Xenopus tropicalis: one gene and its partners. The protein of the gene in region 1 purifies or fractionates together with the protein of each later gene. This does not show direct contact. Links are inferred from orthologs where the notes say so. Each region holds a gene or a part of one and is shown in the gene's direction. Other genes may lie near its edges.

Evidence for each region. The genes of interacting proteins can lie anywhere in the genome.
Region 2: the proteins of ccnc (region 1) and med9 purify together in Homo sapiens (affinity purification with mass spectrometry; 4 studies listed by BioGRID and IntAct, counting the BioPlex papers as one, with this or other methods). This does not show direct contact. The link is inferred for Xenopus tropicalis from reciprocal best matches to the Homo sapiens genes CCNC and MED9.
Region 3: the proteins of ccnc (region 1) and cdk19 purify together in Homo sapiens (affinity purification with mass spectrometry; 8 studies listed by BioGRID and IntAct, counting the BioPlex papers as one, with this or other methods). This does not show direct contact. The link is inferred for Xenopus tropicalis from reciprocal best matches to the Homo sapiens genes CCNC and CDK19.

Annotation. Positions count from the first base shown.
Region 1 is NC_030681.2:82,034,703-82,038,216, forward strand, and holds part of ccnc (cyclin-C), read left to right. Parts: intron 1-295; coding exon 296-347; intron 348-2,703; coding exon 2,704-2,759; intron 2,760-3,514. UniProt on the Homo sapiens protein: Component of the Mediator complex, a coactivator involved in regulated gene transcription of nearly all RNA polymerase II-dependent genes.
Region 2 is NC_030685.2:15,709,652-15,713,783, reverse strand, and holds the start of med9 (mediator of RNA polymerase II transcription subunit 9), read left to right. Parts: upstream 1-1,332; 5' UTR 1,333-1,414; coding exon 1,415-1,542; intron 1,543-4,132.
Region 3 is NC_030681.2:77,212,236-77,216,251, forward strand, and holds the start of cdk19 (cyclin-dependent kinase 19), read left to right. Parts: upstream 1-1,216; 5' UTR 1,217-1,340; coding exon 1,341-1,468; intron 1,469-1,480; exon of another isoform or gene 1,481-1,661; intron 1,662-2,026; exon of another isoform or gene 2,027-2,400; intron 2,401-4,016.

The DNA of each region.
Region 1 (3,514 bases):
TACAAATAAAATATCCAATTAATTTCTATTGGTTTTTGTTTCTTAAGAAAAACTATTTCTAATACAGGTTCAGGATCTATTATCTGGAATGCTTGGGACCTGGGGTTTTCCAGATAAGGGATCTTTAAATAATTCGAATTGCCATTTTGTCTCAATCAAATGTTGATTGACCGGACCAAAGTTTTTGTTTGGGGCACGACACAATAATAATGATTTCTTATTTAGAAATAGAGTACATTCATAAAAAGTTAATGGATCTGTCATCAGCTCAAACAAACCTGTGTTTGTGTTTCAGGAATTTGGTGTTGTTTCAAACACAAGATTAATCTCTGCTGCTACCTCTGTGTGTGAGTATTTAATAAGCAAACCTGATCAGAATATTTGGAACTATGATGATTTTGAATTTTATCCTTATTTGTCAATATATAAAATATACTTGTGTGCTGTTCACCACAGACAAGGAATATAATGTTAGAAAGCTGAGAAGACTTTAATGTAGTTGGAATCCTGTATTTCTTTTTCTGCACAGTGCTGTTGGAAATATTGGTATCTCACACATATAATAATTTGTAAATCGTAAAAAGGAACAGGATTTTAAAAATGTACTATTGGGAATAAAAGAAGTATAAAAGTATTTCAGAATATTCTACATTTAAAAGAAAAAATGGTTAAGGTTTGTCTCTGTATGCAAAAGGTTTTGGCTTGTTAGTGTGGCTATAGTCTCATGATCCTTATTTTTCCCTTTATTTGCTTGTGACCGTGACATGTACTGTTTATTAGTTGTGGCTCTAAAGGCAGTGTATACAGTTTTACTAGAAAAACTATTGCTTTGTGAGGCTACAATTTTACCAAATATCTTTCTATTTAGGCCTTCTCCTATTCATTTCCCCATCTCTCATTCAAACCAGCTACAGTAAACTGGACCCTAGCTGCCAGGTAGCTTCTGAAATTCCAAACTGGAAAGCTACTAAACAAAAAGTGAAATCATTCAAAAACTATACAAATGAAAAACAATTGCAAATTTGCAGTTTCACAGTCCTATATAGAATTACATGTTAATTTAATGGTGAACTATCCCTTGAACAGTTTTGTTCAAGTGAACATAAAACCACTTTGTGAATTACTTTTGTGTAATTTTTACCTAGCCTGTGAAAGGAGCATGCATGCCTTTTGCCTAAGGTATAATTTTTACAGTGACTTTAAAATGTTTTGTTTACAAAGGAATAAAGCGAGTAGAATTCAGACTGACGACCCTTTCTTCTTCATATGCTGAATAAATATAGTTGTGCAGGAGTGCTTGGTATATTTCTAAACCATATAACATTGCTTCCAATTCTAGTATACAGGTGACAGAATGTGTTTTCTCGTTTAATGTTATTACTGTATTCCTAAGCAACAGAAATGAATTTGTGTCAACACAGATGTAGTAAAGGAATGTTTCTTTGCTTAGTATTGCTCTGTTTTGTAGCTTGCCATCAAGGCATGTACTTAAGAGAGAGAATATAAAGATAGAAATGTTTGTTTCATACCATACTGTATTTCCAGGGGACTGTGCTATTAAGTAGAACGGACTGTAGTTTTGTAATAACGTGACCTTCCATTAGGCACACCTCCCATTTTCATCACTATTTTATTTATTTTAACTCTGTTCTTTCCTTTCCTGATCGACGTGGCAGGTTGATAAAACAAAGCACTCTGGAGGAAAGGACCTCAGACCAGTTCTTTTTCTAAAGAAGAGATTGTCAGTGTGTTTCTTTAAAGGGAACCTATCATGCAAGGTTCCCTAGGTGTGGCTGATAGAAACCGCACTCTGACTGGGGAAAACAATAGTGTTTTGTAAAGATGTCATACATGTGCCCCAACATGGCCTCTGGGAGCTTTTTCCTTGTGCAAGTGGCATAGCCCTTCTGAGGGCTCTGGCACACGGGGGAGATTAGTTGCCCGCGACAAAACTCCCTGTTAGTTGCCTTCCCCCTGCCATCCCACCGGCGAACATGTAAGTCGCCGGCGGGATGGCAGACGCGGTGGGGCGATTTCGCGCAAATCGCCCCGCCTCGTCTGCCATCCCGCCGGCGACTTACATGTTCGCCGGTGGGATGGCAGGGGGAAGGCAACTCGGGGAGATTAGTTGCCCGCGAACAGGGAGTTTTGCCACGGGCGACTAATCTCCCCGTGTGCCAGAGCCCTGAAAGGGGTTTTGTTTATAAAGACTACAGTTTCCCGAACCAGTGTGCAGACTCTATTAGCATTTTTGCATGATAGGCATGACCTGGTGGCCTTATTTTCCTTATGCCTGACGAAGGGGTATGCCCCCGAAATGTTGCTACACTTTGAATAAACACGCAGGGGCTAAGCCCCGCTTGCATCATACTTGTCGTGCCATTCACCTTTTTTCTCTTATTTCCAGAGTGCCATTCACCTGCTCCTAGGTATCCCTTGCACCAGTTCCTGCTGGGTGCATACACGATATGATAAGCTCCAAGGAATGTTCTGTGGTGTACAAGGGATACCTGTGAGTGAGGGGGAAATGGTGGCATAGATTTTTGGGACAGCTTTTTTTTCTAAAAAGTATAAGCACTGCCATGTTCAAAAAAAAAAATATATTTTGGTAATTATAAGGTAGCTAACAAATAGTTTGATTTTCCCTGTCCTTTAACACTATCAGTATTCATTTTTATTTTGTTCCTCTTTTGTTTCCCACAGTAAAAACTAGGTTTTCATATGCATTTCCAAAGGAATTTCCTTACAGAATGAACCATGTAAGTAACAGACATGGCTTATTTTATTACTGAAATGACTGTAATAAATGTACAGTGCTGTAAATTACCATGTGCTGCTTTGTAGTGTCTAAATAGTCTGTTTAAAATGAAGTTAAGTAACTGTCAAATGTGGGTGTGAAACACATCATAATGTGGTGTTAGATTTATGGTGTGGTTTTTACAAGGAACCTAAAACATGCAAAATGAGCAGTGTATGTCCAAATAAAATTATATTGGAAACTATCAAAGCTCTAGTTATTGATGTATCAGGGCTGTGTAATAGCTTCACCATTTACTGTATTCACAGACTATCATACAAAAAGGTGTAGTTCAGCCATTGTAGTGAATAATTGTTAATTTGACTTGGTGGATTTTTTTTTTTTTTAAATTACCTTCAGAGGTTTTTTTTGTTTTTTTTTTTAAATTCTATGAATTGTGTATTGTGATGTATTAATTGAATTTAATTTGTCACTGCTACAATATATAATTAATATATATAATTCAGTATTTAGCTTTAGTACTAATAAGGTTCATGCATCAAATGTTTTACTGTAGGCTATTGACAGATGGGAGACTTTCACACACCGCTTAAGCAACACGTGAAAGTCCTGGAGGTTGCCTGCAGTGTTTGTTGCAGCGAGCTGGGCAAGTGTCAGCTGAGTACATTTGCCTGGGAATGCTGCAGGCTTTGCTTTACTGAATAACACTTGTTGCAGATCAGCTCCTGTGATACTTGTTAGTTCAGCCAGTTGCTT
Region 2 (4,132 bases), on another chromosome or scaffold:
AGCTACTCACCCATCTGTAGCCCCAGCTACTCACCCATCTGTAGCCCCAGCTACTCCCCCATCTGTAGCCCCAGCTACTCCCCCATCTGTAGCCCCAGCTACTCCCCCATCTGTAGCCCCAGCTACTCCCTCATCTGTAGCCCCAGCTACTCACCCATCTGTAGCCCCAGCTACTCACCCATCTGTAGCCCCAGCTACTCATCCATCTGTAGCCCCAGCTACTCCCCCATCTGTAGCCCCAGCTACTCCCCCATCTGTAGCCCCAGCTACTCCCCCTTCTGTAGCCCCAGCTACTCACCGATCTGTAGCCCCAGCTACTCACCCATCTGTAGCCCCAGCTACTCACCCATCTGTAGCCCCAGCTACGGCCCAGACTGGCAATCAGTGGGTTCTAGTAAATGCCTCAGGGGCTGCTGTAGGATGCCATGGACAGTCGCTATTTATTGGGCTGGTGGGGGGGCTGTTTGGGCCTCTGTGTACTGGAAATGCCAGGGCCTATTTTGTATCCCAGTCCAGACCTGCCCCTGGCTCTGCTGTATGGCCAGGGCTCAATTTTAGGGCTATGCCACCCTGAACACCCCCACAATATGGCAATTGGTGCATACAGTTTCCACACCAGAAGTGCTGTTAGCTGTCTATTTTTTGGGAACAAAAGTATATAGAGCACAGAGCCCAGGGCAGCTGTCCCTTATCCGCCACCTTATAACGACAGCTCTGGCCATGGATACAGTAGGGTTATTGGTCAATAAATGGAGGGGAGTATTTATTAACGCTGGAAACAAAAATCACCACTGATGTTGCCCATAAAAATCAAGAGTTTTACTCTTGTTTTCTAACTTTTATGACTCTTCAAATCTAATGCTGATTGGTTGCTATGGGCAACATCACCAGCGACATATGTTTCTAATGCTAATGTCTATAATCGCCAAAGGGGCTAGAAGCAGTAACCACACTAGTACAGAAGAATAGATTAATAACAGGGGGTTATTAAGATAATAATAGATAAATACAAAGTATAACAATAAATACAAATAAATACAAGATACAGTTGCAATAATTTAAGAGTCAAAGACACAAGAGGATGGAGGTCCCTGCCCCGTAGAGCTTACAATCTATATGGACTAGTCACAACGTATCCCATAATGCAACGGTGTTTTTGAAGTGACAAGGGCTGCTTGTTATAGTGCCCCATGCAATAGGGCGCCTCAATGAATCACTTCCATCACCAAACACCATATACAATGAAACCTTTTGTCAATAACTTAGCGCAGCCGAACGGGCCCTTATCTATGACGTCGCGCAAGCCGCGGTCGCGCCAGTGACATCATTACGAAACCGCCGTATTCAGCTACAGGCCGCGACGCACAGCTTGTGACGCAGTATTTGTGCTGCCGGTGAAGCCAGCGATAGTAACATGGCTACCGGCGGCAATGTGAGACCGGCTGAGGAGCCGGAGGAGGAAGAAGAGGAGGATGAAGCTGCCGAAGAGGAGGAGGAAGAGGAGTATACCTTCCTACCGCTGGTGCACGACATCATTAAATGGTACAGTTAGTTTGGGGGTCATTGTAACTGAAACACTGCCCCGCTACTGAGCTGTTTCAGCAGTCGGAACCAGCAGTGTTTGTGTATCATGGGAAGTTGCCTGGAATGTCATTTTGCTTTAGTATGTAGCATAAATGTATTTGTATTTACTGTCATTTAGTTGGACACCACTTGCAGGTACTTTTATTGCATTCCCTTTGCAGCCAGTAGCATTCTGTGTCCCTTTGGCCCCATACAGGTAACATTGGAGACAAACATCACTGGGGATGGTGCCCATGATTGGTTAGGTTGGCTTCCAATGTTAATAAATACACCCCTTTATATCTGCAGGGCTTATTTACACTTGATTGTGGTTTGGAATACCTGTTGGTGGGTTAAAGAAGAAGGAAAGGGGGAATTATTGGGGGGTAAAATGTTAGCGCCCCGCCCAAGTGACTAAGATCACTTACCTGATACCCCGGGCTGGTGCTCCTGTTAAGCTTTATCAGAAAGGTCTATGTAAATACAGCCATAAGCACTCACACAAACGCTGCACTGAGTCCTCTATCAAAAGAAACAGGGTTTGTTGTCTTTGTTTTCCTGTGCCAGAGTCTGTGCAGCTTTCTCCTCTCTCCTGTCCCCCCCCTCAAGAATGCTAAGAACTCCCCCCCCCCCCTTAGGAATGTTTGATCTGAGCCAATCAGCAGGAAGCTGACTCATAGTCTAACTAACTGAGCATGTACACCAGTCTTGGTCTTGGTGCAGGAGCGAGGCTTTATGGGAATTTTCTTTAAAGAACTCAGCCTTTTTTTTTGTCCTATGAGGCTTCTGATCATCTGAACAGGAGAAATATGGGGAGACTTAAGGGCACTATTGAGAGAACTGAGGGTATGCCTGCAGCTTGAGATTAACTCTCTATTAGCCTTTCCTTCTCCTTTAAGTTGCTGCTGTGAAGAGTAGACCACTCTTGCCCCAATGGAAACACTTTATGTGATTTTTCCTTTACAGAATCGCACTTTCCATCTCATTAGCGGTGGCCGTTTTGGGTCCACTGCCAAGGACACAGGAAGTACTAATGTGCACTTACCTCCTGTTTCTTCTACCAAGCATATATGCATTTGCTGAGAAAACAAGAGTTTTTGACCTGCTTCTGCCCTGAACCCACGCAAGCCCAGGCTGACCCATTGTGTTAACATGTCTTATAAACCCATGCCCTACCTGCCCACTTTTGATGTTGCCAGAGGGGGGTGGGTTAGAGGCAAGTTTATAAAAGAAAGTGGCCAGGAAGAGTCAGATGTAGCTGAGCTGGGTCGTCATAATGATAAGGGTGGAAGGAGCTGGGCCAGGAAGTGATGTCACACTGGGTAAAACGGGTAAAGCCGCAGGGTATGTGTGGGCCGTGCATCACGTGCTAAGCCCAAGCCTGCAAATGGCAAATTTCTCCCAACCCACAGCCTCAAATAATCAATGTAATATTGCTAAAGGATGAACTGTATATGACAGAAACTGCTGAATTTGCATTATGGGGGATACAGCTGGATCAGAGCCAGTAGGTGTCCTTCATTCAGAAATGGCAGCGTGTAGTCTGTGCAGCAGTGCAGCCGTCGGCAGGAGACTACAGCTCTCATAATGGGAAATCTAAAGGCAGAGAGGATTGTACCAGTTCCATTAAGGCGGGGGTGTCAGGCTCTAGTCTGTCCAGCAGATATGAACTACAATTCCTGCATTCTTAATGTTTGTTTGGGAGCAGTGCTGTGCAACTTGTACTGCATAACTTTCCTGCTATGTGGGACAACAATCACACACAGGGTATGGATTATATTGATATTATGGCATGATACAAAGAAGGCAGTGGAGCCTTTGCCTAGGCTGGGGGCTTTAAGTACTTATTGGAGGGCCCCACCTGACCCACAGGCCATTTAGTTGCCCGAATCTTCCCTAGTAACGCTTTATAGTACATTATGCATATATAGATAATTTGTGTTTACTATAGGAGCCCCTTTAATGAAAGCAGGGCTGACCAACTGGAGCCTCTGGGATAAATGTGGCTTTTCACGTTTTAGGGCTTAGTGGCTGCTTATACTCGTCCGTATGATCTCCTCATTTCAATATTTATCCAACCCTCAGACATGATATGACTACTAAGCAGCTGACTACATAGGAATCCAGTAAGCCCTGCCAAGTTTCATTTGTTAATGTGACTTGATAATCGCAGGACAGGGATGTTACTGTGCCTTTAAATCCTAACCTTTGGCTAATTTTATGTGCCAAAAGTTGGACCCAATTCTTTCCCCCTATTACTGACTTGTGTTGGTCAGCGACATATATTTATGGCCGATAAAAGCTGCCACCCAGTGTGGTGGGCCCAGATCTGCTCGTTTGGTGACCCCACCGAATGAGAGGATCTGGCTGTGTATGGCCACCTTTAGAATTGACGTTGGGCTTGAAGGCTGAGCAAAGTTCTGATAGGCTGGAGGTAGAATCCTGCGAGCCTGGGAAACTGCTGGTTAGTTTACTGGTAGCAAGTAGGGCTTGTACATAAGGTTATGGGTGCTGCTTGGGGGACATGGGTGTCAGTATAAGGCGTGTCTGGGCAATGATTATGATAGGA
Region 3 (4,016 bases), about 4.8 Mb from region 1:
GATGTGGCAGTGGCAAAAAGGGGTCCCGGGCTAGGGGGTATGGTGGGGGAAGGGACTGCAACTGGTGTAGGGGCAAGGGAATGCAGTGGGGGTGCTGACTTCCACTGTGGGGGCCTGTGTGTGGCCCGCCTAGCCTTATCACTGGCTGGGGGCTTTTGTCTTTGAGAAGCATTGGTGGCAGTGGCTGTGACCGCCATAGGTGCCTGGGCCGCAGTCCTGACCTCTGCACGCTGCCTCCTCGAGACTACAGTCGGGGGTTGGGAGGCAGCGGCAGAGGACGTGCGCCTGGATGCGCGTGGGGGACTGGGGCTCAGGCGAGAGGGAGGGCGGGAGCGGCGAGCCGGCCGCTTCCCAGCACTGCCGGCTGCCTGTCCCCCCTGTCTCTGTTCAGTGCTGATGGGGCCAAGTAGCTGTTGTAGCCAGTCGGCTCCATCAGAAGCAATTTTTGCCTGCACCTGCTCCAGTAGTTCCTCGCTCATGCTGGGGTCTGGTGGGGGCTGATGGACACAGGCAGCAGCAGCAGTTGGAGCAGCTAGGATGCCGCTTGGTGGAATCCAGAAGCAGAGTGGCAGCAGCAGCACGGGAATGCAGGCACAGAGGAGGGAGGAGGAGCGAGCAAGGGGGGGCTGCCCTTTCCTGACTGCACTAGCTGGTGAGTTAACCCCTTACAAGCACGGAGGGAACTGGGCCACAGCTGGCTCCACAGTCCCTCCGCGCTTTCATTATTTATTTCAGTGCTCTCTATTCTAGTTGGCAAAGTTTGCAGTGTCATCTATTAGTACTGGCCAGCATTAGGCATGGTTGAATTCCCTGCTACCTGAACAAGGCATTTTTTGCCATGTATTTTAGTTCTATGGATAATGTCTGACTAGTACACTGAAAAAAACACTATTTCAAAGATAAATGTGTTTATAATTGATTGTGTGATTTGGCGCGCATTTATTAACATGAAGGCACTGCATCGCCAGCAATGAAGTAATGAATGAAGTGATAGGCTTTCCCCCTGCCAGTTGTTTGTGCCCAGGAACCCTCCGCTCAGAGTACAGGCCCGGTAAGAAGTGACGCCTCTCAGGCGGGCAGCTTCCACAATTTGGCAGCACCACGGCAGAGCGGGCAGCTGCTGGAAGTGAAATTGAAAGTAAAGATAGAGGGCGCTCTTCCCGCTAAAGTACATGGCATGCGTCTATGTGCAAAGAAGAAGAAAAACAAGGAAATGGTGGAGGGAGAGCCTGGCACTTATTCCATGTAACGACCGGCAGTAGCCAACGGACAGCAAAGGGTTGGGGCGATAGCTGAGCCTTGATGGGTTAAATACGCCCTCGCTCCAGCCGTGGAGGAGGATGGATTACGAATTTAAGAGCAAGCTGTCCGCCGAGCGGGAGAAAGTGGAGGAGCTGTTTGAATATGAAGGTTGCAAAGTGGGTCGAGGCACCTACGGGCATGTTTACAAAGCTAAGAGGAAAGATGGGTAAGAGGCACTAAAGGGAGGGGCGTGTGGGAGGGAGGTGTGTGTTAGGTCACTGTTCATACCTGTGTGCGGACCACCTAGAGCATCGCGCAGTCCTGTGCTTGAGCAGCAAACGCACCTCTCTAGGTGCACACATACCTGCGTGGGTTCCGTACAGTAGAATGCATGTGCTTGCTGCTATTGTGTCTATGAGGTAATTATTGTGTTCACTCATGTCTGTCACAGCCTTGTGTTTGTTATACCAGCAGCACTGCATATACACGTAACCCCCGGACAACGAGGAAAGCCGGAGATGCTGCATTTCTTGTCATGTTAGGAAGTTATTGATGGGGATATTGTGCTAGTTATGTGCTGTTACTGTGTATTTGTAGCTCCCTCCTCCTCCTCTGCACACGCCCGGGATGCTGAACTTGTGCTGGGGGAGGAGGGGGAGGGAGTCTGAGCTACAAATGTTTATGTTGGGGTAATCCAGCCTTGTGGTCCCACCTACTCCGCTGTTCCTCCTCTTCAGTGTTTGCCATAGCACCATGTGTCAATATTTTCTCCCTCGTCTTGCAGATTACCCATTTCTATGGCATTTTCCCTCTCTTTAAAGAGCCAGTCCTGATCAGTAAGGATGCCAGCCCTTTACTGAGGAGACAGTTACCCGCTGGGATTCGTGAAGGGCAGCGGTAGGGCCACAAGTTGAACATCACTGGAGGCTGAGCTGTGTGTATGAAAAGGGCAATTACACATGATATGAAGTGACTGCTTATACTTCAGGCTTAACTAAGGAATAAATAAATGCGTTGTTCTCTAAACTCAGCATAGTAAGACTTTTAATAAAGTTGAAATGATGCTTTGCTTGATTTCATTCAGGTTAAAACATTTGTGATGGCACCTATGTGATTTTTCTGGGATATTTGCTAAATAAACACACGTTCTTTAAAACATTGGCATGTTTGTGTATGTGCAAGATTTTATAATCGCCTCCATGTTTGATGTTTTAGTTGCAGTCTTATACTAATGGCTGTAAGAACTTTGAATTATTTATCAGACAGACATTATTTAGCCCATCTAGCATGAAGTTTTTTTTTAATTCTCAGGACTAAGAATCAATAAAAAAAGCTTTTAAAAAGATGCAATCCTTTGTCAACCCTTTTTTTTTTTAACTCTTGGTTCTGGCCCTTTAGTTATCCTCCAGGGAAGGTGCTAATTCTCACAGTGCTTTGCTCACTTCTTCATAGGTAGAACTACTGGTTTAATGGTGGGTTGCTGGACTGGCAATTTGTACATTCTGCTTAACACCAGAGGGACTGTAAGATGCCCATAGACAGTCACTATTGGGCCTGTGGGTGGCTGTTTGGGCGTCTTAAGTACTTGAAATGCCAGGGTCTGTTTTGTCTTGCAGCCCATACCTGGGCCAGGTTTAGGCTAAATAATACAGATTGGGGACTTATAAGGTATTATATTAGGTTAAAAAAATCCATTAGTTCTGTAGCAGTGACATCACATTACATTGCAAATAGTGCATTGTCTGTTTCTTTTTCTACTGTTTTTTTTCCACAAGAAAAAAATATTCCCCTTTCTGTACCTGTGCACCCTCCATATTATTTCTGTGTTTTTGCTGGAACATTTTGTACAATTCCATGTCCCATTGTTTAACTCACATCCTGCATTAGATTTCCAGCCCATGCATAAATGTCACTCTTTGTATAATGAGTAAGCTTAAATGTTTTCCTGTAACTATTCATTTTTAATTATTATTAATTATTTTATTCTCTGCCCCCTTAGCTAAAGGTAAATGTTCAAAGATTATAACTAGTCAAACTCTTCTGTCTTTACTTTTCTCATTCCCACTGGTGATGGTTTGGAGGCGAGGATCATCTCTCAGGGGCAACTTGGGGCAATTTGATACTCAATGTAAGCTTGTAGTTCCTTGCCTCTTGTACATGCCTTAACATCTAATAGCCCATTTGCTGAGATGCTCACTGAGACAACTTGTGACCATCATAAATAACCCTGCTTATTTTTAAATCTAAGTAATGTAATATTTAGATATTCTTGAAGAATTCCCCAAGTACAGAAATACTTAGTAATAAATTATCTGTTCCACTGTCCTGTCCTTTGTTTACCTCCCATGAATCCTTGTCAATTCTTTGTTTAGTAGTAGTTGGGCAGGTTTGTGGTACATTACCATTAGGGCCATGACAGACGGGGAGATAAGTTGCTGCACGACAAATCTCCCTTGTCGCGGGCGACTAATCTCCCCGATATGCCATCCCACCAGTTAGGGTGACTAATCTTCCGGTCTGTCATGACCTTTAATTACATAAAAAATGGCCCTCGAGCCAATAAAATCTCTTAAAAAACTGGGACCCATGTAACTTTTGGTTACTCTGCTATGTTTGTGTAAACTGTCTGCTGGCTCTTACCTTTGCTAGTATATTTAAATTGTCACGTTGGTGACTAATACATCATTTTCTAATCTTGTAATCTTATCTGTAGCACTTCCTTTCATTGGAGGATGTTTTGAAATATTTTATTTGCTTGTAGAACTGTTCACTTC